Linked DNA regions of Daphnia pulex. The protein of the gene in region 1 interacts with the protein of each later gene in a pairwise test. Links are inferred from orthologs where the notes say so. Each region holds a gene or a part of one and is shown on either strand. Other genes may lie near its edges.

The links.
Region 2: the proteins of centaurin-gamma-1A-like (region 1) and general vesicular transport factor p115-like interact in a two-hybrid assay, tested with the Caenorhabditis elegans proteins (2 studies listed by BioGRID). The link is inferred for Daphnia pulex from reciprocal best matches to the Caenorhabditis elegans genes cnt-2 and uso-1.

Annotation. Positions count from the first base shown.
Region 1 is NC_060024.1:12,057,078-12,062,700, reverse strand, and holds the start of centaurin-gamma-1A-like, read right to left. Parts: upstream 3,540-5,623; 5' UTR 2,452-3,539; coding exon 2,004-2,451; intron 726-2,003; coding exon 493-725; intron 1-492.
Region 2 is NC_060025.1:2,005,851-2,011,466, forward strand, and holds the start of general vesicular transport factor p115-like, read right to left. Parts: upstream 3,417-5,616; 5' UTR 3,297-3,416; coding exon 3,228-3,296; intron 3,042-3,227; coding exon 2,668-3,041; intron 2,596-2,667; coding exon 2,297-2,595; intron 2,236-2,296; coding exon 2,120-2,235; intron 2,026-2,119; coding exon 1,641-2,025; intron 1,554-1,640; coding exon 1,345-1,553; intron 1,279-1,344; coding exon 1,156-1,278; intron 1,087-1,155; coding exon 976-1,086; intron 911-975; coding exon 739-910; intron 600-738; coding exon 523-599; intron 456-522; coding exon 354-455; intron 284-353; coding exon 41-283; intron 1-40.

The DNA.
Region 1 (5,623 bases):
TTAGCTGGCCCCCTATGACACCCCCTTTATCACCTAAAAAAAAATATTTTCATATGAAAAATGTACAGCGCCAAAAAAGTCCCCTAGATAATTTCGGGGCCGTGTTGTTATTATTATTTCTATCAAAAGGTTATACTATAACCCGGCGCTTTTTATTTTTTATTTTTTTAGCCGTGACCCAAACACATTTCAACACGGCTGTGTTATTGAAACGATTCAAAAAATATAAGGGGACATTTTTTTTTTATTTAATAAACTCCTTTTTCCTTTTTTAAAATTTTTCTATAGGACTAAAAAAATGTTTTTTGTCCTTATTGTGTTAAAAAATAAATATACTCGTAAATAAAAAAGGAACCGGACAGCAGGCGTGAAAAGATTGATTTTCATCGCCTTTATGAATCGACTTTTGTGTGTGGTTATGTTTTTTCTTTCCATCTTTGGAAACAAATTCGACACACAAAATTTTGTTTTTTAAATTAAAATTTAACTTACTTGGAGTTCGGGCGATCCGCCTTCATCGCGGATGAGGAGAAGGTAAGACTGTCCGTCGATGGAAATCTCTTTTTTGAATCGGCCGCCTTCGGGCGATTCCTCCTGCATGTAGGAGCCGGTGAGGTAGCGATGGACCAGGGCCGATTTGCCGGACGCCAGCGACCCGACGATGCCCAAACGCAAATCGGGAACCGCTCTGGACAGCGTCCATTCTTGACTATTCACGAACGAATCTGGCAAAAAATAAATAAATCAAATGGAAATTTAAAATCACATTTTTCAACCAACTCTGCAACTCGACCGTTACACCATTTCCCAAACTATTCAATTGGAAATTGACATGTCAATGCTGCAATGGCGATGGACACGAAATGCTTCCGCGGACTGCGGAGGAGGACATTGACGGACAATTACAAGTTTCTGTGTGAGACGAATGGCGAGCGCTTATTGAGAAAACTCTTTTGTTGAATTTTCGAAGGGCGGAAGAAGAAGAAGAAGAAGCTTTTAAGAAGAGGGCGGGGCCGAGAGGAGGAGTAGAGCGCGGGCACGCTCCCAAAAATCCATCGCTGGTTACATGTTGGACGACAGGAGAGATAATCGAAACGAATTTCGACACACACACACACACGGGTACGGGGGCCATTGAGTTTTTTAGTGATCGATCGGTCGACAAGTAAACCCCCCCATCAACCAACCTAACCAACCCAACAAAAAATCTAATATTATATCAAATGAAAAAGAAGAAAAAAAAAGCGACAGACAAGAGATAGATTCCGGTTTGTTCGCAGCACACTCCAATGATAATAAAGACTTGCACATCCCTCCTCATCAATAATCAAACTAACCCCCCACCAAAAAAAAAACTAACAACTTGATGGATTTTCAAACAACTTTTTTTTTAGAGGATACCCCCCTTATTCGTCACTCTCATCCGCCTGCATCCGGCGCAGATAAAGTGAAGAACAGGGGGTTGGTTAGTGGAAATAATATAGCCTTTTTTTTCTACTCCACGTGTTATTATTCTAACAATTTGATAATTTTCCCTGAAAAAGCTGTTCAAACAAGAATCCCCCGCATTGGCGAGAGGAGAGATAACCAGACGTTGGTCGGGGGATCCACCTGGCCTTTCCTTCCAGTTGAATACAAACAACCCAGCACATAGTGGCCTCTTCCACGCGTCAATCAACATGACCGACCCCACAATGAAAATGAAGTAGGGAAATAAAAAAAAACATACAACAGACAACGGCACAAGTGGGTGAAACCGGTTTTCTTCTCGCCATTCGGCATGCAGCAATCATCACAATCTAATAACGTTAGACGACAATGATGGGGGCGCATTCTCATCAGCAAATCAGATTACCATAAAAAAGCATTTCAATGGACCTGATTTGAAAACTCAAGTGAATTTCCATCGGGAAAAGCAGATGCCCAGTCTACTACTTGACTAGAACTTTTCAACTGTAGGAGGGGGAGGCCGGCCAATCGTTGTATTGCGTAATCATTTATACCTGTGGCGATACTGGTGATGGTCGGAGTGGGTGTAGGGGTGGCGGGCGTAGGAGTTTTGACCAGAAATGACTTGGTTCGCCGAAAGGATCGGCGCAGGGATCGCCGGCGGAAGGATCGGAAAATGCTGGCCGCCGTCGACGTCGACCCGTGTTTGGTCGGCGTGCTGGGAGTGACGGGCGTCGTCGTCGTTCCGCCTCCCGTTCCCATGTGAGCCGGGTGACCGGGCGTCGTCGTCACGACGTGAATCGGCGTGACCGGAATGCCCGGACGGCCGACCGCCGAGGCCGCCGCTCGCGTGTACCCGCGTCTGAACGGCGAAGGAGCCAGCGGCTCCTCGGCCTTGCGGGTCGACGCCGAGCTCTGGACGCTGATGCCCAGCGTCATGTTGAGCACTTTTTGGTAGAAGGGCAATTTATCGCCCAGCAGGCCGCCGCTGTGGTTCTTCATTATCGAACAATCGGGGACGAACGAAATGAAAAATAAGAAAGAAGAAAAACCGGCACGATTCCAACCGATTTCCAACGCGCTCACAAAAGTTCTTCTTTCGATTATTTTTAATGAGGCGCCTCTTTTTTTCCACAAATGTTTTGGGTTGTTGTTGGCATCGACCAATGACTTCCTGTCGATTGGCTTTTCTGCCAGCAGTTCCGTTTTGTTCCGTTTTTCTCTCTTTTTTTCCGCCCTTCGATTGGCTTTTGAAATGTTCACTCACGCGTGAGAAATCGGCGCAAAGGGAAAAAAATCATATAATAATGTTGGGAGAGACCCCGCGGTGACGATCGCAACACGAGCACAAAACAACAATCGGCACTCCCGTCAAAACCAATAACAATAATGAGACGTGAGGAATCAAAAAAGAAAAGATTTGTCTTTCTTTCTTTTTTGGATTTCAATTCCAACAACCCCCACAGAAGTCAGAGAGAACTAATAATGATTATGAATTAGATCCAATGGGCCGGCACTAGTACCACCACAACGACCACCAACGGAGTTTGGCTGAGCTTTTCTCGCCCCGAACAGAGCCGATGGAACACGGGACGTCGTCATTTGGGTTGGTCCCCCAAAAATTGTTCCAAAAGTCAATCGAACGGAAATTTTCAGAACTTTTTTTTCTTTTCACAAATATTTTTTGAAAAAAAAAGTTTCGTCCAGTCCGCACCACTTCACATTGATTAGCGATTAACGATTGGAAAACTCCCCAAAATAATTGGGAGAAAACGGTTCAACTTTTTTTTGTTATTTCAAATTCAAGACGCACACAAAAACACACGAGACGAAAAGTTTGTCCGTCAGAGTGGAGGGGGGAAAACGGTTGACGCCGAACGACGGCCGGTGAGCGACTGAGCCTCAACGAGGTGAGTCAGGGACGGATGTAGTACGTATAGTGCGACGACACTCCACCCCATCCGTGTGCCCCCACCCCCCTTCTCTTTTGCCCACCCGGCGATGGAGCGCGCCGGTCGTCTCCTGTAATACGCGCGTCGCGTCGGAGGTGGGACCCCGGTTGGTGGGGTGAGGAGAGTAAAAGGAGAAGGACGACGACGACGACGGAGCTATAAGGCCTACTAAATAAAGGAAGGACTTTCTTTTCTTTTCTTTCTTCCCTTTGCGGGTAGAGAGAGAGAAGAGGAGGAAATCGGAGAAGGTATTGTGCGCCCAAGAACCTTAGCTTCTTCTTTTCTTCCGCCTTGAGCCCGTCGTCGTCGGGTCCGTCTGTTGGTGGGTATTTTATTTATGCGGAGCGCGCCAACCGCGTGCCCGTACACACATAACAGAAAAAAGGAGAAAAAACCTCTTTTTCCACTCTATTTTCTATGGAGAAAAATACTTTTGAGGTGATAATAAAAAAATAAAGAAGAAGGGAGACTCTACTATATGGTTGGTGACATAACACAGACACAGAGAGCCCTCAGTATGACCGTCGTCCGTCGGAACAACTACGCGGGGCATCGAGGCGCACGCCGGGGTTTTTCGGGGGGACTCCATTGTGTCAATGGTGGTATATACACAAACGTGAATGTCTCTGTGATTTTGGGTGTACCTTGTGTATTATCTTCTTTTTAGATGGTATATAGGAAAAGGTGTCCTCATGAAAAACGCTTTTCTTCCAATAGGAGAAGAAGAAGAAGGTAAAAACTGGCCCGTGGTCGAATCGAGGCGCCCCGCAATGTTTGTGTCCCATTCTCTTTTCCGGCCGATTCAACAACAGATGGGAAATACGACGATGACGAACCAGGAAAAATACAAGAAGAAGAAGAACCTCCTCCTTCTTCTTCTTCTTCTAGACTTTTTGTCAATGGGGACGGACGCTGGTAGCCTTTCAATACAACAACAACAACAACAACGGACGAAACAAAAACCCGGTAGCTCCACACATAGAAGGTGACTTGTCCAAAAATATTTTTCCACACACGAGTCTGAAGGGAAAAAGGTTTTTTCCTTTTCTTAGTGGGACGTCCGGAATCATAAAAATAGGAAAGAATCAACAACACACGGTGCGCACACAATGATCGATTCTTTTCTCCCGATCAAAATGTGTGACGTATCCATCATATATGTATTTGTCTTCAAATCAAAAACGAAAAAAGAAAAATCTGGTCTAGTTTCGCCAGATGTAAAGGAAGAAAAGAGACGTTGAATCCATTTTTATTTTATTTTTTCATTCCGGTGGGGGTTTGTTTGCTTATTTCATAAAGAGAGAGAAAAACACGCCGTTGACAAATCCGTCAAGACGACACACACAAGAGGACCTCTCTCCTTGCATATACATATAGGTGGATAGAAATAAAAAAAGGTAACTGTTCCTAGCAGAGTCTCTCTACTTTTTGGGGGATTCTTTCTATTTTTCTTTTGTTAGGACACAAGGAGCTCGCGTCTTGTGGCCGTGCATATTATTCAAAGTCGAGCATCAGCAGGGACGCGTCTAGCTCAACGTTCGGCAAACCGACGCATAGAAATTTCGGAATTGATCCGATTTCAAGGTGTATACTATACTTTGATAGAGAGATGAAAATCCCTATGCTGGAGCAGCTAACCTAGCAGCAGCCCCCCTTCTTATGTAAGAGGGGGGGAACTCGCAATGTGTGTCGGCATTCGTAGAAGAATCGACAAAGAAGAAAAACGCAGAAATCTTATTTCTCCATGCGTCTCTATCTCCCCCTATCCTATCCCATAAATATTATACGCAACTCTTCGTATTCTTATCAAACGTACGTATCTAAATAAATTTCTAGCCGATGCTCGGTGGTGTATTAAGATTCGATTGTGCTTTTCATCGATTCCCCCCTACACACAAGAAAGCGGAGAAGAAAAGAGGCACGTGTGTTGCGCACAAACTTACAAGAAGAAGAAGAAGAAGAAGAAGTCCACCCCCCGCCACCGTCGTCGTCACATTTCACACACAAAAACTTCCCTCAGCAGGGCGCAAAAGCGTGCGCGAGCGGGCGCACTTCCAAGATTCGAATTACAAAACCCGAAATCCCTCCCACCCTACAACCCCTTGGAAATAAAATAATAACTCGCTCATCTGGGTTCTACTATTACGCCATAACCGTCCTGTATCCCAAGACAGTCCATATACAAGAATGAACACATCACACAGACAAATGGAAGGGGGACG
Region 2 (5,616 bases), on another chromosome or scaffold:
GAATCCCAAAATGCATCCGCATCATGACATGTATACTCACAGACGGAGGAATGCCAACGTAGTGATTGGCAGCTTGTTGCTGCTCTTCCAGCTGACCGCGAAGTCTCTCATTGTCTAGACGTAACGCTTCCAGCTCTTTCACCAACTTGTCAGTCGACGATTCGGGTGGCGGAGTTGAAGGCTCGCCTCCGTCAATTATGACGTTATTGTTCCGTTGGGCCTTGAGCAATGTATTTTGATCCTGGAGGTGCTGCACGTTGACGTTCAACTCTTCGATCTTGCTCTGAGAGTGCGTCACAAGGTAAATCAAGAAATTGTTCTCCCAGCGTAAAGGTTTTCTCGGGAAAATATACCTGAGCGGCTATGTGATCCCCTTCCAAGGCAGCTAATCGCTGCCGCAGGTGTTGTATCTGTCCATCTTGCTCACGAATGACGTCCTTGTATTTGGCCAAAGCCTTCAATTCCGATTAAAAGATATTTGTATCATAGATATCGATTATTATTACGATTATTACGACCTACCATCGATTCGGACGGGGATTCGGCTCCTTTAGGACTGGTAGGCGGAGCCACCGCTTTGGCAATGACACCCTCTAGTCCTATTAATAGAACGAAACACAAGAAGGAAAAAAAAGAACTGGTTAAAGCTATATCTAAAGATGAAATCCAATCCAAGTCCTGTCAGTCAACTCTATACGTTGATCGAGTAGCCATGGCTGCCAGCGGGAAATTGAATACCTTTGTACAAGCGACAGAACTCGTGATCGAATTGGATATCAGCCGCGGTATTGATCCGAATTTGAGGGTGTTTGAGGGCTTTGCTGTACACTTCGTGTTTAGCGATCTCGGCAAGTTTGTCGACGAATGTTTCGACTCCGATTCGCTTGGTTATTAGTTGGCACAGGGATTCCTACATGACGATAACACTCAATACAGTAAATGACTAGGTGCAACTGGGCAGCAACGAAAATATACCTTGGAAAAGTTGCTGTTTGCATCGTTGTTGTAGACCACGCAGAGTCCTAGGAGAAAAGCGCACAAGCTCTGCACAAGCACCTCTTGGTCGTCGTGCTCATTGGAAGCCACCTAAGATAACATTTCCCAATTTTTCTTTTACTAGGAGATACTTTAAGATAATTTGAAATGGGATTTTACCAGGGCCGTTAAAAATGCCACAGCATTTGGGAGTTTTAAAAATTGAGCCACAGAGTTGGGGCTATCTGCCAACCAGGTGGACAATAACGTCAGAATACCCAGTCGAGTCTGCAACTTGCCACCCTGAGACACACATAAATGTTAGTCAGAAACGTATAGTTCAAGATGAATTTGAATCAAGAAATTTACCAATTGGAGTATACTAAAAGCTTGTTGTAGGAGGGAAACGGGTGCGACATCTTTGGCGATAGCCAAGTGCACCCTTAGCAACAGTTCCCTGTTGTTGGTGTTGTTGACAAGAGCGTGAGAGAGTGCCACGGAAGAGAGCCAGTGAGAAAGGCAGTCGGTCGAGAACAGTCCACCGCACAATAATTGGCCAGCTGAAATTTGCTGCATGGCTATGATACGAAAAAAAGAGAAAACAGGTTTAATGTTTCCATGCCGGCTGGATATCACTTTCTCTTGCGGGGGGGATTATTATTCACCTTCTGCCGATGTGGGTAAAAGTGCCTGGATAATCTGTCCCTGACTGAAATCGTTCTTGTAGAGGAAACACTCGAAACAGTAGAGAACGGACGCTCGGAGCAGCACCGGCTGCTTTTCGTTGACCATAGACATGAGGAGAACGACCAAGGCTGTTCGCGGCGGTGACGAAGAGGCCATCACTTGGCCAAAGAATTCTTGATTGCTCCGGCAGCCGCGAATCGATTCGCCGACTGTGCAGATGATTTCGCTGAGGATGTCAGCCGGAACGCCGGGCGACATGAGTAGAGCACACAATTCGGAAAGCAGACCACAGCCGGCCACATTTTTCTGGGCTGGAGACACCACTTGAGTGGCGTTGGCCGGAGATACCAATGTTCTTACCACCTGTGGGGAAGAGATATATAACAGTACTTACTAACTCTCACTCTTTCCCTTTTTATTTATAGAATTAGGCTGTCGATGATGATTTTGTTTATACCTGAAGCATGGAATGTACATTGCTAATCTTCTGTATAGACCAACTGCCAGTTGGATCACCCCCCTCCGACTGTTGGCATGACTGGAAAAACGGTGTGATGTGCTTCATGCAGGATTCTGGTGGTTGCAATCGACTTTTTAAAATAGAATTCGAATTGAAATGAATTAGATGGATTACCTTCTCGAAAGACTGTCTGGTTTGAGGCGTTGCGTTTGAGGAGGTTGAGCATAAGTTGTAGGGAATCGTCTACGACGATACCGCCGTCACTGTAGCCCTCGCTGCGAACGACTTGAAAGAGCTGGTCGAAACCACGTTCATAGGCGATAATGTTTTGAATGTTGGCATTGCTTTTAGTCAGCTGGATGAGAAGGAGTAAGGCTTCGTTTCGCACGAAATCCCGGCTATCACTGAGGATATCGATTAATTTGGCCACACCCATCGGACATGCCAGAACAATTTCCTGCATTTCTTTCGATCTGTGAAAAAATGTGTATAATTAATAAAAGGTTTTTTTTAAAATAATGAACGAGTTAAAAATAGACACTGACTTGTTGTTTAAGAGGTTCATTAGCAGACGAATCGCTGGAAGTCGAACGTGAAAATCATATTCGTCTAGTAACGTGATGACGCTTATGACATTCTCTGCTTTTTTGAGAAAGATTTCAGTGAACTGCTCTCCAACTGGGGCACCGACACCCTCTTCTTCAAAAACCTCTGATGAAGTTACATTGCATAATGTTTCCAGGACGAAACTGGATGTCTCCAGATCCGGCTGGCCATTGAGCACCTCAATCAAGGCATCCAAGCCGTGGGCCCCCACTTCCAATCGATACTTTTTGGAAAGGGCTTTGATGGCTCTGCAGGCATCCCGTTTGTCCTCCAGCAGAGTCGAAGATGTGACTCTCTCAACCAGTCTCAGCACCTGATGAATAGAAAAAAAGAATATTTTAAAGAAGCAATCTTGACACGAATTCCCCCAAAAATAAACTCAAAAAGTCCTTCACACGCCATCGAATTTTACGGGCCACAGCTGTTTATCAGAAAAGAAAACGGTCAAGGACACGACTGCACTTAAGTGATTGACGTTAATTAATGTCAATTGAATTACCGTGTCAGCAGGAGAAGGCTCCGCTTCCGGCTGGCTGATGACAGACTTGAAGCCGAAAAAATAATCCATCACGACTTTGGGAAAGTATGTCTATAATAGTTCTATTTATTTATTTATTTACTTCTAAATTTGGAATCAAAGCCGTTTGGGTTACACGTCATTTCGATTCAACCAATTTCGTCTGCTTGGCTTTGTTGCCAGATATTTAAAATGGGCCGCGTTGAGCCGGTCACTAGGGAGGGCTTTTTGAATGGGATTTCGTGTTAGATTTGACAGATTCGCAGGTATCGGGTGTTGGCTCGAGGTCAAATTTGATCCTTTTGACGAATTCTCTGTTAATTTGAAATACATATCCTATCACGCGCTGAGGATATCCTTTCGCTCCGTGCCGCGTCTAATATTTAACGAATATAATTCTAGACTTGACATCCTGTCGATCGATCGAGGGGAAGAACGGATTGGGTTACAGCCTGCTGGCCACAGGCAATCTTTTACCAGGTGAAACAAAGAACCGTGCAGCAAGGAGGACCACTGTAAGCAGCGGTCGTGCTGCTGCTTGGTCCACAAAGATTCATGTATAATTCTAGTTTGGAAAATTATTTTTATCTACTGACGAGATCTATCTCGACCTTCACGCACAAATTGTGTGGGAAGTGTCAAACGGGATATCATGCCCAAGGCTTTCCTTTCCCTTGTTCTTTTGTTGTTTTTATTGTTGTCAAAGGTTTTTTTAAAAAAAAGAATCCCTATCCGCAAGAACTTGAAATACCTGCTTATAACGCCCGATTTTGCAGCGAGTGGTCTGCTGCCAGTCTGCTGCCAACAGCCTTATATCTTTTTTGCATACATTAGCCAACCACACAGTAGACATGAGGAAGCTATAAATCCTTATAATCCCATATCCTTTTTTCCCAAAAATGGAATTTTAACGTTTCAGGGTTCTGTTGAAAACAAGGCTGAACTGTGATATATCCCCTAGCACATCCAGAAAAAAAAGTTCTTTGTTGCAGCTAGAATTATTGATTGGTGGTACTATTATATAGCGTACCTTTTTTTTCTTCTCAACTTTAATCCATTTCTTTCCCTGCACCTCGCATCCGGCTGGCAGCTGCTGGTTGCAAACTCTTCCTGGACTGCCGTGAGCAGTCAGCAACAGAGTATATACAGTATATAATATACACAACAACACAATGTCTCTGGATGGCTATTGGCTCACCGGTAGTTTTAAGTTGCTGTTGCCATCCGAAGCCCTTAGCCTACGTGATGTCGAGCAGGGAAACCAGGAACTCCCTTCCTTGTAGTACCCCCTACGTTATTATTTTTATTTCACTTGGATTTTTTGTTTTATATTTGCCCTTTGTTCATTCAGTCCGTCATGCAAAACGTTGTTATCTTTTTTCCGTCTTCTGGTTTTTTCTAGAAGCCTTTAAAAAACCAGTTCGGAAATTTTGATACAGTAAAATAAAAATGGCTGATGTAAGAGATAAGAAAAATTTCTCCGGAAAAAAAAATTCAAGTCTCCCAAGACAAAGAAAAAGAGGTTGAGTTTAAATAAAAGAAAACAAAGAAAAAAGATGAAGTAAAAATATGGGGTGATTGCGTGTGACGTCACTGTTGCTGTGGGCCGCTAGGGCAATACACACTATACGCCAATATCCCCATTACCCTGGCAAACCCCTCCCAGACAAAGAAAGGAACATCAAAGTTCACAACAGATAACGTAGTCACTCTCGGATCCGGGACAAAGAAACACCACGCTACACCAGCGACACTCGACGGCTGGCGATGGATATTTAATTCATAACTAATGAAATCTTTTCATTTTCACGCTTTAAATTACTTAAAAATAGCTTCAGTTCAATGTAAAATAATTACAATCAACTTTCGTGTTGATCAAGTACGTAATTAGAATCAAATTATCTAGAAGATTCTGTGCACAGAGGGCTCTGGCGTCAGTTGAAACAATGTCGTCTGCTTGGAAACCGAGTGAACGCACCGTCAGTCTGCAGTGGTCGTTGCTAAGGTAGTCAACTCGAGAACAGAGGCCTTTCTTTCTCAGTCGATGGGCACCATTCACGTTGAAAAGGCTGTTTCACTTTGCAGTCGCCATCAATCGCCCTTGTTCTTTCACTAACAAAGACCGGCCCACTTTTTCTCCCTTATTCTCTTCTAAATTTTCACCTTGATCAAAGCAAAAAACAGTTCTTTTTCGCACACAGTCTCTCAAGTTTTTAAAGCAAATCACACAATCCTTAACTACCAAGAAACCCCCTTGCACGTTATTAAATTCGCCGGCTCTTTTTTCCCTTGTTTTATTCGTGACGTCCGAAATTTCGCCAACATTGAAGAAAATGGAGGTTATGCCGTTGCCAGTTGCTTTTGATTTTAA